Linked DNA regions of Sus scrofa. The protein of the gene in region 2 interacts with the protein of the main gene of each other region in a biochemical or structural test. Links are inferred from orthologs where the notes say so. Each region holds a gene or a part of one and is shown on either strand. Other genes may lie near its edges.

The links.
Region 1: the proteins of FLNA (region 2) and ASB2 form a complex in vitro, tested with the Homo sapiens proteins (3 studies listed by BioGRID, with this or other methods). The link is inferred for Sus scrofa from reciprocal best matches to the Homo sapiens genes FLNA and ASB2.
Region 3: the proteins of FLNA (region 2) and ITGB1 form a complex in vitro, tested with the Homo sapiens proteins (3 studies listed by BioGRID and IntAct). The link is inferred for Sus scrofa from reciprocal best matches to the Homo sapiens genes FLNA and ITGB1.

The regions. Positions count from the first base shown.
Region 1 is NC_010449.5:115,227,289-115,232,498, forward strand, and holds part of ASB2 (ankyrin repeat and SOCS box protein 2), read right to left. Parts: intron 5,108-5,210; coding exon 4,941-5,107; intron 4,073-4,940; coding exon 3,917-4,072; intron 1,139-3,916; coding exon 893-1,138; intron 1-892. UniProt on the Homo sapiens protein: Substrate-recognition component of a SCF-like ECS (Elongin-Cullin-SOCS-box protein) E3 ubiquitin-protein ligase complex which mediates the ubiquitination and subsequent proteasomal degradation of target proteins.
Region 2 is NC_010461.5:124,899,263-124,904,472, reverse strand, and holds part of FLNA (filamin-A), read right to left. Parts: coding exon 5,125-5,210; intron 5,039-5,124; coding exon 4,915-5,038; intron 4,831-4,914; coding exon 4,694-4,830; intron 4,609-4,693; coding exon 4,415-4,608; intron 4,293-4,414; coding exon 4,179-4,292; intron 4,083-4,178; coding exon 3,939-4,082; intron 3,231-3,938; coding exon 3,107-3,230; intron 3,023-3,106; coding exon 2,862-3,022; intron 2,777-2,861; coding exon 2,686-2,776; intron 2,609-2,685; coding exon 2,439-2,608; intron 2,243-2,438; coding exon 2,125-2,242; intron 2,026-2,124; coding exon 1,763-2,025; intron 1,572-1,762; coding exon 974-1,571; intron 892-973; coding exon 718-891; intron 633-717; coding exon 470-632; intron 393-469; coding exon 232-392; intron 135-231; coding exon 1-134. UniProt on the Homo sapiens protein: Promotes orthogonal branching of actin filaments and links actin filaments to membrane glycoproteins. Anchors various transmembrane proteins to the actin cytoskeleton and serves as a scaffold for a wide range of cytoplasmic signaling proteins.
Region 3 is NC_010452.4:56,084,937-56,090,146, forward strand, and holds part of ITGB1 (integrin beta-1), read right to left. Parts: coding exon 5,052-5,210; intron 4,831-5,051; coding exon 4,608-4,830; intron 3,627-4,607; coding exon 3,394-3,626; intron 1,480-3,393; coding exon 1,229-1,479; 3' UTR 171-1,228; coding exon of another isoform or gene 96-170; 3' UTR 1-95.

The sequences.
Region 1 (5,210 bases), on a different chromosome or scaffold from region 2:
TGTGTTGTCCCATTAAGTGAACTGAGAGTTTTCTGAGGCAAAGGTGCAAAGACCAGGGTTCAAATCCCAGGTCTGCTGTGAATTTACTGTGTGACCTTGGACAGATTCCTTTCCCATTCTGGTCCTTGGGTTCATCACCTATAAAATGAGGAGCTGAAGGAATTCCCTTCATGGCTCAGCGGTTAACAAACTCGACTAGCATCCATGACGATGCAGGTTCGATCCCTGGCCTTGCTCAGTGGGTTAAGGATCTGGCACGCCATGAGCTGTGGGGTAGGTCGCAGACATGGCTCAGATCCCACATTGTCTGGCTGTGGTGTAGGCTGATAGCTGTAGCTCTGATTTGACCCCTAGCCTGGGAACTTCCATATGCCACGGGTACGACCTTAAAAAGCAAAAAAATAAAAAATAAAGGAGGAGGTGACCTAAACGTTGTCTCAATTTCCTTCTGGCCCTAAAATGTGACATGATGCAAAGAGAAGATGGGGTGTCTGGAGATTAAGAGTCTGGGCTGGTCGTACTGCTAATTCGGTACGTGACTGCAGAGAGATAAGTTACTTCCTCTTGCTGGGCCTCCGATTCCTCATTTGTAAAATAAGGATGTTGGGCTAGCTTAGCGAGGCTACGATGCAGCACGTGTGCCGCTCCCCTCCAAGTCTGTGCCTCATGGCAGGCATCACTAGTGGATCTCAACACAATTCTGGCTGAGCCTAAACACAGCCTCAGAATCCTTCTCAACACAGTCTTCCCAGAAGATATATGCATATATCACTCAATCAGAGGCTGGCTATAAGATGACACCAAAACCTGCTTTTCCTTAGACTTGATCTCTGGGGTCCTTCCCGGCTATGCCCCTTGGCAACTCCACGACCCAGGGACCCTTGGCACTCACCGTGTTTGGCCAGGAACCTCAGTGCCTCCAGCTGCCCACTCTGGGCAGCCACGAACAAGGGGGTGATGCCATAGGCATTCTTGGATTCCACCTTGGCACCTCCGCTCACCAGGATCTCCATGACCTCCAGGTCATTGCGAGCAACAGACTCGTGCAGAGCTGTCCAGCCTCGGTTACAGCGGTGGTTGGTGTCCGCGTTGTACTGCACCAGAATCCTCACGGCCTCCACGTTTTTGCGCTCACAGGCTGTGCCCAGGGAGAAGCAAGACAGTCAGCAGGGCTCCTGGCAGGACCCGGCCGCCCAAGACTTCATTCACCTGTTCCATTATCAGCCATTCACTCAACAAATATCCCCCGGTCTGTACAAAGTTCTGGTCCCTGCCTTAAACCTAGGATACACAACTAAAAGTAATAGTAATATTTGCTGATGTGCATACAACACTGGTCATGTGCTGGACACGCTATTCAAAGCACTTACATGATGAACTAATTTAGTTCTCCCAACCACCCTTAAAGGATATAGTGTTATCCCCTTTTACAGATGAGGAAAGTGAGGCACAGAGAAGTTAAGTGACCTGTCCAAAGTCACACAGACAGTAAGTGGCAGAACTAGGATTCAAATCCACGTAGTCAGGTCTGGAGTTCCTGTCTCTGGAAGGTTCTAGAATGCCCCAACTGGCCTCCCTTTCCAGTGTTACCTGCTTCAGTTCTCCGTGTCGCCAAGGACAGAAGAGGAGGAGAATGTCAAATTCCTGCTCAGAACACTTCCTCAAAGGCTACTCACTTAGTTTGGGCTAAAATTTTTTTTTTTTTTTTTTTGTTGTTGTTGCTATTTTTGGCACTCAGCGGCATATGAGTTCCAGGCTAGGGTTGATCGAGCTATAACACCGGCTCTCCAGAGCACAGCAACGCGGATCGAGCGCGTCTGCAACTACGCCCAGCTCACGCCGGACGTCCACTGAGCCAACCGCCTCATGTTCTTCGTTAACCTGCCCACGAACTCTGTTTCTATCTTCTGAGTATAGCTCAAGTCTTTCTCAACCTGCTCAAACCTCCTTTTTTGAATTAAAAAAATTTTTTTTATTTTTAGGGCCGCACCTGCAGCGTACAAAAGTTCCATGGCTAGGGGTCGAATCAGAGCTGCAGTTGTTGGCCTATACCACAGCCGCAGCAACACAGGATCAAGCCACGTCTTTGACCTACACCACAGTTCACGGCAATGCCGGATCCTTAACCCACTGAGCGAGGCCAGGGATGGAACCCACAACCTTATAGTTACTAGTTGGGTTTGTTACTGCTGAGCCATGACAGGAACTCCCTCAAAGCTCCCTTGTAAGCTCTAGCTCTCTCTAGACCCTACTGCAGCCTTAATGCTTGCAGAACTATTATCAGGGAGGAGCACTTGTTCAAATTAACCACTTCTAGAAGCTTCTCCCACTGAGTCAGGGGGTAGCGAAAAGTGGGGGGGAAACGCCTGTGTAGTGGTATTTTTCCTTTTGTTGTGTGTGTGTGTGTGTGTGTGTGTGTGTGTGTGCTTTTTAAGGCTGCACCTGCGGCATATGGAAGTTCCTGGGCTAGGGTTTGCATGCCAGGCTGCAGCTGCTGGCCTACACCACAGTCACAGCAACACCAGGTCCAAGCCACATCTGCAACCTACACCACAGCTCATGGCAATGCCAGAACCCTGACCCACTGAGCGAGGCCAGAGATCGAACCTGCATCCTCGTGGATACTAGTCGGATTTGTTTCCTCTGTGCCACAGTGGGAACTCCACCTGTGCAATGTTTCAAACAGGACCCCAGGCGAAGGTCCCCCCCTCTCTGAGCCCTGCTTTCCTCGCCCATAAAGCACAGATAACAAAACCATCCCACGAGGATGCTGTAGGGTGCGGGGTGAGGCAGTGTACCAAGGCTCTAGCGTGGAGCTTGGCACAGGGTGGAGCTCGTGCAAGACCAGGGCCCGGGCCTGCGAGTCACCCAGCATCCTGGGAGCTCCCTCTGGGACAGCTGAGGCTCCAGGAGATGGCTCTGGTGCCCAGTGGACACGAGTTCTAGGGAAGACACTTCCACTGCGGGTCTGCCATGGACCTGGTTCCTGCTGCCTATGGAATGTTCCAGGTGCTGGATACCAGACACCTGGGAGTTTGCGAATTTCTGTGGTTTTTCAATGTGCGAAGACCCTCTCATTGTCACAAGACCCATGACTGCTTAAGCATGTAGGCATGAATGACGCTTGATGGCGTGGTGGGTCATAGTGCCATGCTGGCATCCGACTCCTGGAGTTTCGATACTAGGTCTGCCCCTTGCCGACTGTGTCTTCCTGGATGCCTGGGGGCCTTATCTGTAAAATGGGGCTACCAGCAGGGCCTGCCTCATATGTGGATGGACGGGAGGGTTAGAGGAAAGGACAGAGCCTGACACACAGTAAGCACACAATAAATGCCAGCTGTTATGATTATTCAGATTTTGACTCTGGGCATTGCTAGGGCAGCCAGTGAATGTCCTTGGATGATGTTTTGAGTAAACCAGGAGTTTTTTCTTTTGTCAAATATTCTAGAGGGACACTTTCCCTTTCAAGCCTCTTTGCCTTTGCCTATGCTGTTCCCCCTGCTTGTCCAGGGGGTAAATTCCTCCTGTTCAGGCTCAGCTTTGGGACCCCCTCCTGCGGGGGCCCTCCCCCATTCTCCCAGGTATCTGGTGCCAAGTTTCTCAATGCCAGTAGTTGACTGTTACATTGGCTGTGAATTGATGCCCACCGGGCTGGAAGAGCACATGGGCACAGGCCACATCTTTGCATCTCTGAGTCCTCAGCATGCCTGGCCCATGGGAGGACTTGGGACATGTTGAGTGTATCCGTGCATGAATGAATGTTTCAGATATATAAGTTATACATCTGAACGAGGCTGCCCGGTCACATTAGGTTCCCCGGGGCGGGGCGGGGTGTTATACACTTTGCAAGCAATTCTCCTGATTGCCCAGCTAGCTTCTGGACCCTTCCTGGGGAAGCCCACCCTCACGGGCTCACCTTTGTAGAGCGGTGTCTCACGGGACTTGTTGGAGATGTCAGGCTCGGCCCCAGCCTGGAGCAGGGATTGGAGGCAGTCCAGGTGTCCTCTGCATGTCGCTAGGTAAAGGGCCGTTTCCTCCTGCAGGGTGCGCTGGTCAATGACGGCTGGGTATGCTGGGCAGGACGGACCAGGAAACTCATAAAGAGGAAGACACCCACCCCCACCCCCAACACAGAGGTGGTCCCGATTTCCTCCCAATCCCAAGGACAGATATGCCTGGCATCTCCCTGAATTTTCCATCCAGACTGCCTTCATTCTCTTGGCCCTGGATTCAGCCACTTTCACAGGGCTGTGGCAGCTTCCCGGTCATATTAATCCAGCTCAGATGCCACCTCCTCTGGGAAGCCTTCCCTGGTTGAACTCCTTCTTTCTCTGAATGACCCTGTCCTACCCTTACACTCCCAGCCGCCACTACCAGAAGCTTGGCTCATGCATCTGTTCCTGCCCTGGAGGGCGGTGGGCTGCCTGGGCTCCGTGCCTCCTGAGGGCCTGCAGGTGTTTCCATTCACATGGGGCCTGGGGGAAAGGCGAGGCTCAGAGAGGAGCCATGATTTGCCCAGGGTGGCGAGGCTCAGAGAGGGGCCATGATTTGCCCAGGGTCTCACAGCTGTTGGAGGCAGCCCTGGCAGGGCACAGGCACAGCTGCAGCATTTTCCACACCAGATCAGTCCCTGAAACATTCTGGAACAAGCTGGCAGTGGCTCTCCCCAAAGGCAACCCTCCCTCCTTCCTTTTCTAGGAATTAGGCTTTCCTGTCCTGGGAGGCCTGGAGAGGTGACAGGATGGGGATGGGGGACATGGAGGGGTAAGGGGACAAGTCACTTCCTTGCTTCCAACTCGGTGACTAACTCTGCAAGGCAGGTAATAACTTTCCTTTGTCCCCTTACTGCAGTTTTTGCGGAGGCAAAGCTCTGGAAGGAAGGTGCCCTTGCCCGTGAGTCCTGTTCCCACGCGTGGCTGCACCCAGAGCCACCGCCTCACCTTGGTGCAGCGTCTTGAGGCAGCTCAGCTGGCCGTAGTAGGCTGCCTCGTGCAGCGGCAGCCAGCCGTCTTTGTTGGGCTCTGCGAGGTTCTTCCCCGCCTTGATCATGGCCTTCAAGGCCTCTTCGTCGCCTTCCTTGATGGCCTTTAGCACAGGGTCCACGGGCCTGTGGCGTAAGGAGCCAGTCATTCCTCAGGACTGGGGCGCGGGGAGGCAGGGCCAGGCAGCCTCTCGCCCAGCTTGAAGGCAGGGCCAGGAGCAGGCCAGCT
Region 2 (5,210 bases):
GCCAGCCTTGCTCGTGTCCACCTGGAAGGACTGAGGGAGGTTGGCGCGGACCATGCCAGGGCTCAGGCCCGGCCCCGAGCACTTGACCTTGGACGCATCTGTCACATCATGCACAGGGACCTTGAAAGGACTGCCTGGCGGGGGGGCAAGAGGGGTGGCAGCAGCCGTGTGAGACAGAGCGCAGGGCGAGCAGGTGGTGCCCGCCCAGGCCCAGCCGACCCGCGTCCTCACCTGGGACTTGGTGGCCGCCATAGGTGACGTTGAGACTGTAGGTGCCGGCCTCGTAGGGGATGTACTCGACCGAGCAGCTGCCGTCCTTATTGTCCATGCAGGACATCTTGGCCTCCGAGGGGCCCTCCACGGCCAGGCCCAGGCCCCCCGTGCCAGCTCCCCTGTCCAAGCAGACAGCTCGTCACAACCTGGGGGGCCAGGGCCGCCCCAGCCCCTGCCCTCCGGGGCTCTCGCTCACCTGGTCTCCACGGTGAACTTGTTGGGCTTGTTGGTGGTGCCGCTCTGCAGGCCCGGCCCGTGCACGCGCACTCGGGTCGGGTCACAGCCCTCCGTCACGGGTACCTGGAAGGGGCTGCTGGGCACGGGGCTGCCGTCGTAGGTCACGTCCACGGAGTGCAGCCCTGCGGGAGGGCAGAGGCGGTGTCAGGAAGAGCCCGGGCTCCCCGGCCCCCGGGCCACCCCGCTCGCACGCACGCACGCACGCACCCTCCTCGTAGGGCGTGTACTCCACTTTGTAGGTGCCGTCGCCGCGGTCCTGCACGTAGGTCTCGGTCAGGTTGCCAGAGGGGTTGGCCACGCGGGCCTTGACGTGCGGCCCTCCGGTCTGCGTCAGGGCCCGGGCATCCACGCTGAACTCCGTGGTGGCTTCTCGGAAGACGCCTGCAAGGGAGGTGTGGAGAGGAGGCGTGGGCTCCAGCGCCCTGGCCGCCCCCATGCCCAGGTCCCGCCGTGCGCCTCTCACCTTGGCCCTCGACCCCGGGCCCATAGCACTGGACGCCCGAGGTGTCCACCGCGGGCTCCACCTGCAGCTTGCTGGGGAAGTTGGGCACAGGTTGGCCACCGTACTTGATGGTGACCGTGTAGGCCCCGGGGCAAAGCGGGATGTAGGTGATGGTGTGCGTGCCGTCGCCGTGATCCTGGATGTGCACCTCGGCGGGCAGCCCCGCCTCGGAGCGGATCTCGATGGTCAGCTCGGCGCTGCCTGCGCTCGAGCAGTCCACGTGGAACTGGCCTGCCTCGCCGGCCGTGGCCCTCTCCAGCCCGGGGCCTGAGCACTTGACCTTGGATGCATCAAAGCAGGGAACCACGTGGGCCTTGAACGGGGAGCCGGGGATGTGAGTGTCAGCGAAGAGGATGTTGATGTTGTAGTCCCCGGGCTCGGTGGGCACGTAGGACACAGAGCACGTGCCGTCCCCGTTGTCCAGGCACTCGAGCTGGGCCTCGCAGGGGCCCTCGACCGTCAGGCCCAGGCCGCCCACGCCGGCACCCTTGGTGTCGATGGTGAAGCGGGCAGGGGAGCCTGCGCTGCCCCCTTGCAGCCCTGGCCCGAAGGCCTTCACCTGCAGGCGGAGGGGCAGGTCAGGCGCCGAAGCCACGCTACCTCCCTGGCCCCAGCCCCGGCCCGGAAGCCCTCAGCCCGACCTGCCATCTGCCGCCGCTGCGGGCCTCCCTCCCCCAGCAGACAGGGCGCAAAGATGAGAAAGGGTGAGGGCGAGTCTGGAGAAGGGGGGCCGCCCCACACCCCAGTTACCTTGCTCGGCTTGGTGGGGGGCACGGCTTCCAGGGGAAAGGGGCTGCCGGGCACAGGCACGCCGTCATAGGTCACCTCGACCTCGTAGGGCCCCTCCTCGCGGGGCACAAAGCGCACCACGCTGTTGTCAGCCCCCAGGCCCGGCTCCACCTTGCAGGGCACCACAGCCCCTGAAGGGCCCACAATCTTGGACACCACTTTGCCCTGGCCGCCTGCACCCTTCGACTTGACCGTGAACTCCTGGTCTTTGCCAACATCCACCTCTGTGGAGATGAGGAAAGGAAGGCGAGAACTGTGACAGCGGCCCAGGCAGCCCTGCGGCACTCTCGGGGACGGTGACGAGGCCCCGGCCAGCTACTTACTCTCTCCCAGGCCGGACACCTTGATCTTGCTCAGGTCCAGGCTTGGAGACACCCCCACTGAAAAGGGGCTCTTGGGGATAGGGTCCCCGCCATAAGTGACATTGATGCCCACTGGGCCCTGGGAGGAGTACAGAAGGGCAGGGTCACGGGTCATGACCTTGGTGTCCCTGGCCCGCTGCTTCCCACCTTGGGCATGGCGTTGGGGGTAGGGGTGGTGGATGCTCCACTGCCCCCTGCGGTTCTGGGGCCACTCTCTCCCCTGGGGGAAACGCGAGTGGGTGGGAAGCCCCCACGCGCGGGGGCCAGGCAGCTACCTGCTGCAAAGGCGTGTACTTGACGGTGTAAGTGTTGTCGTGGTGGTCGATGACATCCACGTCGCGCACCGCGTCCCCCTTCGCCGGCCCCGAAAACTGGACATCCAGTTTGCCTTTGCCGGCAGCTTTGGCGTTGACCGTGAAGTGGGTGGGTTTGCCGAGCTCGACACCTGATGAGACACGGCGATGCTGTAGGGTCACGTGGCCCCATGCCCTCCCCCGACCCCCACAGGGGACCTGTGCTCACCCGTGCGACTGAGGCCAGGGCCCTCGGCCTTCACTTTGCTGGCATCGTGGGAGGGCTCCACCTTGACCCGGATGGGGCTGGTGGGCGTGGCCTGCAGAGGGCGGGAAGAGAAGGGCTGAGAAGAGAGCAGCAGCCAATACCCAGCAGCGTGAGGGGCCGGGAGCAGTAGCACCCACCTGGTCAGCAAAGAGGACCATGATGGTGTAGCTGCCAGCACCCCGCGGCGTGTACTTGACTGTGAAGGTGTCATTGTCGTTGCGGATGATGTCGAAGTCGATGTCAGCCTCGGTGGGGCCCACCACGCCAGGGGCACACTTGATGCCGATGCTGACGTCACCTGTGGTGGCAGAAGGCATGGAGGCTGGGACCCCATGCGGACGCCTCGCCGCCTCGCCCGCCTACTCTCGAGGCAGCGACTTACCCTGGCCGGCCTCTGTGCAGTCCACAGTGAAGTATGTGGGCTCGTGAGCCTTGAGCCCCGTCTTGGCCACGCCCGGGCCGTACACCTTGACCTTGTTTGGATGGCTGCCAGCTCCCACGTTCACCTGCGGGGCACAGGGGCGAGTGCGGGGCGTGACCGGCCTGGAGGAGAGGCGGGGCGGGGGGGGGGTCGGCCCACCGGGAAGTCCTCTGGCGGTTCCTCAAACAATGAACCACAAAGTGACCGGACGGCGCTGCGATTCCACGCCTAGGCCGGTATCTGTCCACCCAGGGAGATGAGATCTCTGCACTGGAATGTTCAGAGCGGCAGTGTACGCGACAGCCGAAAGGTACAAAAACCCCCAAAGGTCCATCAACAGACGACTGGATAAATAACGGAACGTCCAGCTGTGAAACGGCGGGGAGCACTGGCCCGGGCCGCGGTGTGGACAAGCCGTGATAAAACGCACTGCTGGGTGAAAGTGGCCAGACCCCAAAGACCACAGGGCGGACGAGTCCACCTCCAGTTCATGTCCACAAGAGGTCAGCCCGCCGGGCCGCAGAGCAGAGCGGGGGCTGCCGAGGGCTGCGGGCAGGGCCCCTGAGGGGAGAGGAGCTCCTCTGGGGGCTGGTGCAAACGTCCCAAGCTTTGCTCGCTCGGTTGTGCTGATGACTGCACAGCTCTGACCTGACTCAACCCCCTCCAACTGCACACACGAAAGGGTGAGCTGCGTGCTGTTCGAGTTTTAGCAGCTAGAGCTGTGGAAAAACGAATCTGGCGCCCCAGGGAAGGGGGCTAAAGGCCTGTCAGGCCTGCGGGGGGGCAGGCTCACCCGGAAGGGGCTGTTGGGGATGCTGACGCCTCCCCAGGACACCATGGCCGTGTGCTTCACTGGCTTCCGGGGCACGTAGGAGCAGCTGTAAGTGCCGTTGCCGTTGTCCTTGACCGAGGCCTCCACGGGGCAGCCCTCATTGTCCTGCAAAGTGGGCCGGAGCAGGGGGCCTCCTGGTCAGTGCCTGGGTCCAGGCCCCTGCCCGCCTGGGCCCCCTCCGCGGGTGGGCGGGCCCCCCACCTGGACTTGGACCCTGAGAGGAGCCTTCCCGCCGTGCTTGGCGTCCACCGTGAACTCGGCGGGCTTGTTGACGGCCACGCCCGTCTTCTCCAAGCCGGGCCCGCGTGCCTTCACCTGACAAGAGACCACGCAAGGCTCAGGGGCCAGGTGTCAATGCCAGAGACGGCGCGGCAGGAGCCCTACCAGCCATCAGGGGCACCAGCCTAGCCTCCCGGCCGGCGGCACACACCCCCTACCCTGTCGGGATGGAAGTCGGGGGGCGCCTCGCGGATGTCGGCCATGAAGGGGCTGAGGCGGATGTCCTCGCTGTTGCACAGCACGTGCACCGCGTACTCGCCGGCCTCCTGCGGCCAGTAGCGCACGTCGCAGGAGCCGTCGCCCTTGTCGTCACACTCGATCTTGGCCTGCGACGGGCCCTCCACCGAGAAGCCTGCCGACAGCCGCCAGCTCCGTCAGCACCCTGGAGCCTCGGCGGGGCGGCCCTCGCCACGCTCTGCCCCCAGCTGCCAACTCACCCAGGGTGCCGACATCGTCCCCGATGGCCTCCACCACGAAGTCGGCCGACTTGCCAACGACGCCACCCTCCAGCCCGGGGCCCCAGGCCCGCACCTTCTGATTGCCACACTCGGTGCCCACCTTCACCTCAAAGGGGCTGCAAGGAGAGAGCCACGCAGGGGAGTGCCCAGCGCCCACGGCGAGCCCGGCAGGGGGGAGGGGCGCCCGGCCCAGGCCTCACCTGCGCCCGATGTTCTGGCCACCCCACGTGATGGTGACGGTGTAGGTGCCGGGGACCGTGGGGTAATACTCGAAGCCGTAGACGCCATCCCCCAGGTCCTTCTGTTTCACGCGCTCTTCGCCCTCTGCCAGGGACAAGGGAGGGCCTCAGGCTGCCGCCCAGCCGCCGCCCGAGGCCGGCAGCACCCACCCCGGCTGCAGGCCAACTTACTGGGACCCTTCACGACGACCTTCAGCTCCCCGCTGCCCGCGCCTTTCGTGTACACCTTGAAGTCGGCAACCTCTTTCACGCGCACA
Region 3 (5,210 bases), on a different chromosome or scaffold from region 2:
AAAAAAAAGCAAAAGTGATAAATGACACACAGTGCAGTAAAAAGGGTAAATTTCACATGCAAAGACAGAAAATCAAAGAAAATACGAACGGCAACTTAGAGACCAGCTTTACGTCCATAGTTTGGATTCTTGAAATTATTAATAGGACTCTTGTAAATCGGATTTTCTTGCTAAAGTGAAAGAAATAGTTTCTAATGATTTCATCAGAAAAAAATGACATACATAGTGATTAAACACTTTAAGAGAGAAATTTTACTATTTTTACACTTCCTGGAATTCATCACTTTTTTTAAAAACCCAAGCAAGTGGTAGGAAAATGCAAATGACTAAGGTTCATTTACAATTTAAAACCCTGAAGACTGTCACTGCTTTCTTCTACCAAAAGATGAAATCATAGGGCCAACCTCGGCCGCCCCACCCTGTCACCCCTACTTCAAAGCCCTAAATGCTCGCATAAACTTGCATCACTTACAGCTTTTAAATTTTGTATAAAGCAAGGGTTATCGGGTTGTAATTTGCAGAGTAAAAATACCCTGAACTACACAGGTCCATGAATTCTCAAATGTAAAAACACACCCACAGTGGAGACCATCCCTAGATCCCCAACTCCAGGCCTTAGAAACCACTGATCTCATCTCTGCCCCTATAGTTGTGCCTCTTCAACACTCATATAAATCGTACAGCAGCCCTTTGAGTCTGGCTGCTTTCCATTCAAGGTTCTTTGTTGAAAAAATAAAGAAAGCAAGAAGAAACCTTCTATTGCTACACATATAACATTATTGAGGATTATATCTTTCATAAGAAAAGTCAGAAGTTCAGATTTAAGATCAAAACTATTACAGAAATAGGAGTTCCCGTGGTGGCGCAGATGAAAAGAATCCAACTAGGAACGATGAGGTTGTGGGTTTGATCCCTGTCCTCACTCGGTGGGTTAAGGATCTGGCGTTGCCGTGAACTGTGTTGTAGGTTGCAGATGCGGCTCGGATCTGGTGTTGCTGTGGCTCTGGCCGGTGGCTACAGCTCCAATTATACCCCCAGCCTGGGAACCTCCACATGTTGCAGGTGTGGCCCTAAAAAAGAAAAAAGACAAAACTATTATAGAAATAAAAATATTAACCATAGTAACCAGAATAAACATTGTTTTGTTTTAATGTGACGTTATTTAGGGTGTTTTCTGGTTTTGGCTAAATGCAAATTTTCTGAGTAAAGTCTTGGGGGAATAAAATATTTAAAGGACTTTAATAATCAGCTTGAGAATTACTAAACATGTCTTAGAAGAGTTATATTCCTTTTTAGATGTCTTCCAACTCACCGTGTCCCATTTGGCATTCATTTTTTCCTTTTCAAATTTGGCAAATTCCCTTCTGTCGTGAATAATCATTAAAAGCTTCCAAATGAGCAGCAGTGCAAGGCCAATGAGAACAATTCCAGCAACCACACCAGCTACAATTGGAATAATGTCTGGACCAGTGGGACACTCTGTAAAATAAGCAGCAGACGATGAGCACACAAGGGGTTGGTATGTGTGAAGTACAGCCCACATTACAGAGAGCTGAAGAGTCTCATAAAAAACACTAAGGAATTAAAATCCAAGATAAGTCAATGGACACTATCCCACAGAATCTATAAAAAAGACACTAAAAGTTCACAGATGAGTTCACAAGACAACAGGAGACATGACCAATAAAGAAAAGTCCTATGTATTTTATAACAGAAACTGATTTCTTTATATCAGAAATTGAAAATGAGAAAACAGTATTTTCTACAATAGCATCAAAATCATGAAATACCAATGTAAAATTCTAACAAAAAATGTGTAAGATTTACATGCTGAAAATTACTAAACACTGATGAAAGAGATCGAAGGCCTGAATAAATGGGGAGAGATTCCATGTTCTATATTAGAAGATTCAATATTGTTAAGATGTCACTTCTCCCCCAATGTGATCTATAAACTCAATGCTATCCCAATCAAAATCCTGGCAGGATGTGTACAGATGTCAAGCAAGTTAATTCTAAAATTCACAAAGGAGGAGGAGAACTAGAAAAGTCTTTTAAAAACACTTTTGGAAAAGAACAAAGTTGGATAACTCACATTACCAAATTTCACAACTGGATTTGAAGCAACAGTAATTTAAATCGTGTTGTATTGACTCTAAGACAGATGCATGGATTAACGGAACAGAATCATGAGTCAGAAACAGGCCCACACATACAAGGTCATCTGATTTTCAACCACAGTAGAGAAGGGTCAATCTTTTCAAGAAATGGTGTAAGAATGACCAGCTATCCATGCACAAAAAAACTGAACATCACCCCATATGCCAAGCAAGATCAGCTCAAATAAACCAGAAACCATAAAACTTTTAGGAGAAAACAAAGGAAAAAATCCTTATGAACTTGAAATACACCAAGAGGTCTTAGTTAAAAAAGCAGAATCTAAAAAAGAAAAACTTGGCAAATGTGATTCGTCAAAATTTAAGCTTCAGATATTCAAAAAAACACTTAAGACAATGAAAAGAAGGATGCATAGACCAGAAGACAATATTTGCAAAATATCTGAAAATGCAAAATACAGACTTTAAAAGTTTGGCTCTTTCTTCCAAAGTTAAATATATGTCCCCAAAATCCATTCTGAATATTTATCCAAGAGAAATTAAAACTTATATTCCCATAAAAACCTGAACACAAATGTAGAAAATTGCAAAGAATATTTAAAAATCATCTGGAAAAACAAGATAAAAAATGTTTCATCTTCTGAGAAGCTGAACAAAGCCATGCTCTATAATATCCTGTGACAAAATAAGTTTCCCAGTGTCCCCTTCTAAATCAAGTATATTTAAATATCATTCATAGGAGTTCCCCATTGTGGCTCAGCAGGTTATGAACCCAACTAGCATCCATGAGGACGAGGGTTCAATCCTTGGCCTCTCTCAGTGGGTTAAGGATCCTGGGTTGCTGTGAGCTATGGTGTAGGTCACAGACACAGCTGGGATCCAGTGTTGCTGTGGCTGTTGGGTAGGCTGGCAACTGCAGCTCCAATTCGACCCCTAGCTTGGGAACCTCCATATGCCACGGGTGCAGCCCTAAAAAATATACATATACATATATCACTCACAGTGACTTGACTCTTACTGAGTCGGCCCCGTGCCGTCCGGCCCTGTGCTGAGAGCTCTGTGTGGACTGCTGATATACTCTTTAATCTCTCTAATCATAAAACTTAAAATTTGCTCTTTCCCTTATTTCTTATGTAGTTAATACTATTTTAGCTTTAAGAGATTAGAAATGTCCCAAATAAACCTAAAATAGTCCAGCTCAAAGCTTTTCCTAGATACAAGGGAAACTGCCAATTGCCCTAAGCAGTAAAAAGACATAAATGAAAATGACTTTTACCTGGAGTCTCTACAACATGAACAGTGGCCTCATTGTTCCCATTCACCGAGTATGTGAAGTAGAACCAGCAATCATCAACGTCCTTCTCCTTACAATGGGACAAGGGATCGACCTGGCCTGGCTGGGGCAATTTGTCCCGATTTTCAACCTTGGTAATGTTGAAATGTGAACATTCCTGGGCACATGTATCTTTCTTTTCTCCTTTATTGAAGGCTCGGCACTGAACACATTCTCTGTTAAAACATACATCATTATATTTCTTATTTAAAATATTTGCTTAAAGATTACTTTTCCTGTGCTAAACTCAAAATAGGAACAAATTAAACCAAGAGCTACGACAGAAGATTTGAATAAATGAAGAAACACACAAATTCTAGTAAAAAACTAAACATAAAGATGCTAATTTCATAAAGAACAAGGTCCACGGAGTTCCCGTTGTGGCTCCCTGGCCCCGCTCGGTGGGTTAAGGACCGGGTACCGCCGTGAGCTGTAGTGTAGATCACAGACATGGCTTGGATCTGGTGCTGTGGCTGTGATGCAGGCTGGCAGCTGCAGCTCTGATGAGACCCCTAGCCAGGGAACTTCCTTATGCCCCAAGTGCGGGACTAAGACAAAAAAAAAAAAAAAAAAAAGAAAAGAACCAGTCCGAGAGTACAGCACAGGAAACTATATCCATTCTCCTGGGATAGACCGTGATGGATGAGAATATAAAAAAAGAATGCATGTATAACTGAGTCACTTTGCTGTACAGCAGAAACTGGCACATTATAAATCAACTATACTGTAATTAAAAAAAAAGTTTAAAGATGCAAATTTCCCAGGTGAAATTATAGATAACGCAAACCAAAATCCTCCAAAAGAAATGAGTACTAAAATAAAACTAGCCCTATCAGATATTAAATATACAATATAAAACCAAAGTAATTTTTTAAATGTGTTGCTGATGGAATAGGTCTTTTTTCAAAGACAAAACCTTCAATTGTGCTTAGTCTGATCCAAAGATAAGCAAGTGGTGTTGCTAATTTAACAAAGGTTACCACATGGACTCAACTACATAGTAAATTCAGATTGAAAGAATGCTGCCACCACTCTCATACGGCATACTTCAATATCATGTAACAAACACCAGCTATTAAGATTTAAAAGTCTTAAATAACTACACAGTTAGGCCAACGGACAGTATCACCTACTTCAAGCAATCAGGAAATACTTACTTATGCTCAGCACAGACTCCGAGGCAGGTCTGACACATCTCACAAGTTGGCCCTTGGAACTTGGGATCTGTACACTTACAGACCCCACATTCACAGACACCCCGGCCATTGCAGATCTGTCCATTTACAGCCATGCAGGACGTAGTATCCAAAGAACAGTCACAGGCGCTGCCAGTGTAGTTGGGGTTGCACTCACACACTCGACACTTGCAAACACCATTTCCTAAAATTAAAAAATATCATTTCTTGTAACAATGGTAAAAATATAAAGTCACAGCATTGACTGGAAAGTAAGAACAAGCAGTAATATGTATGAAAGTGTATCTATAGGATAGAGTGACCCTCAGTGCTGCCTTTTTTCTATCCATTCACTAAGCAAACTCTCAGGACTTTTGATTGTATTAGACAGGACCATTACAGAACCATCTTCAGACCCCGTCTCACCTCCACAAATTAAGCCATTGGATCTATCACAGTTGAAATTATCACACTCGCAGAATTTGCCAGAATAAATTTCGTTTGTATTATCCCTCTTCCTACATACACACTGTCCGCAGACACACTCTCCATTGTTGCTACAGATTTCTGAACTGTTCTCTTTCC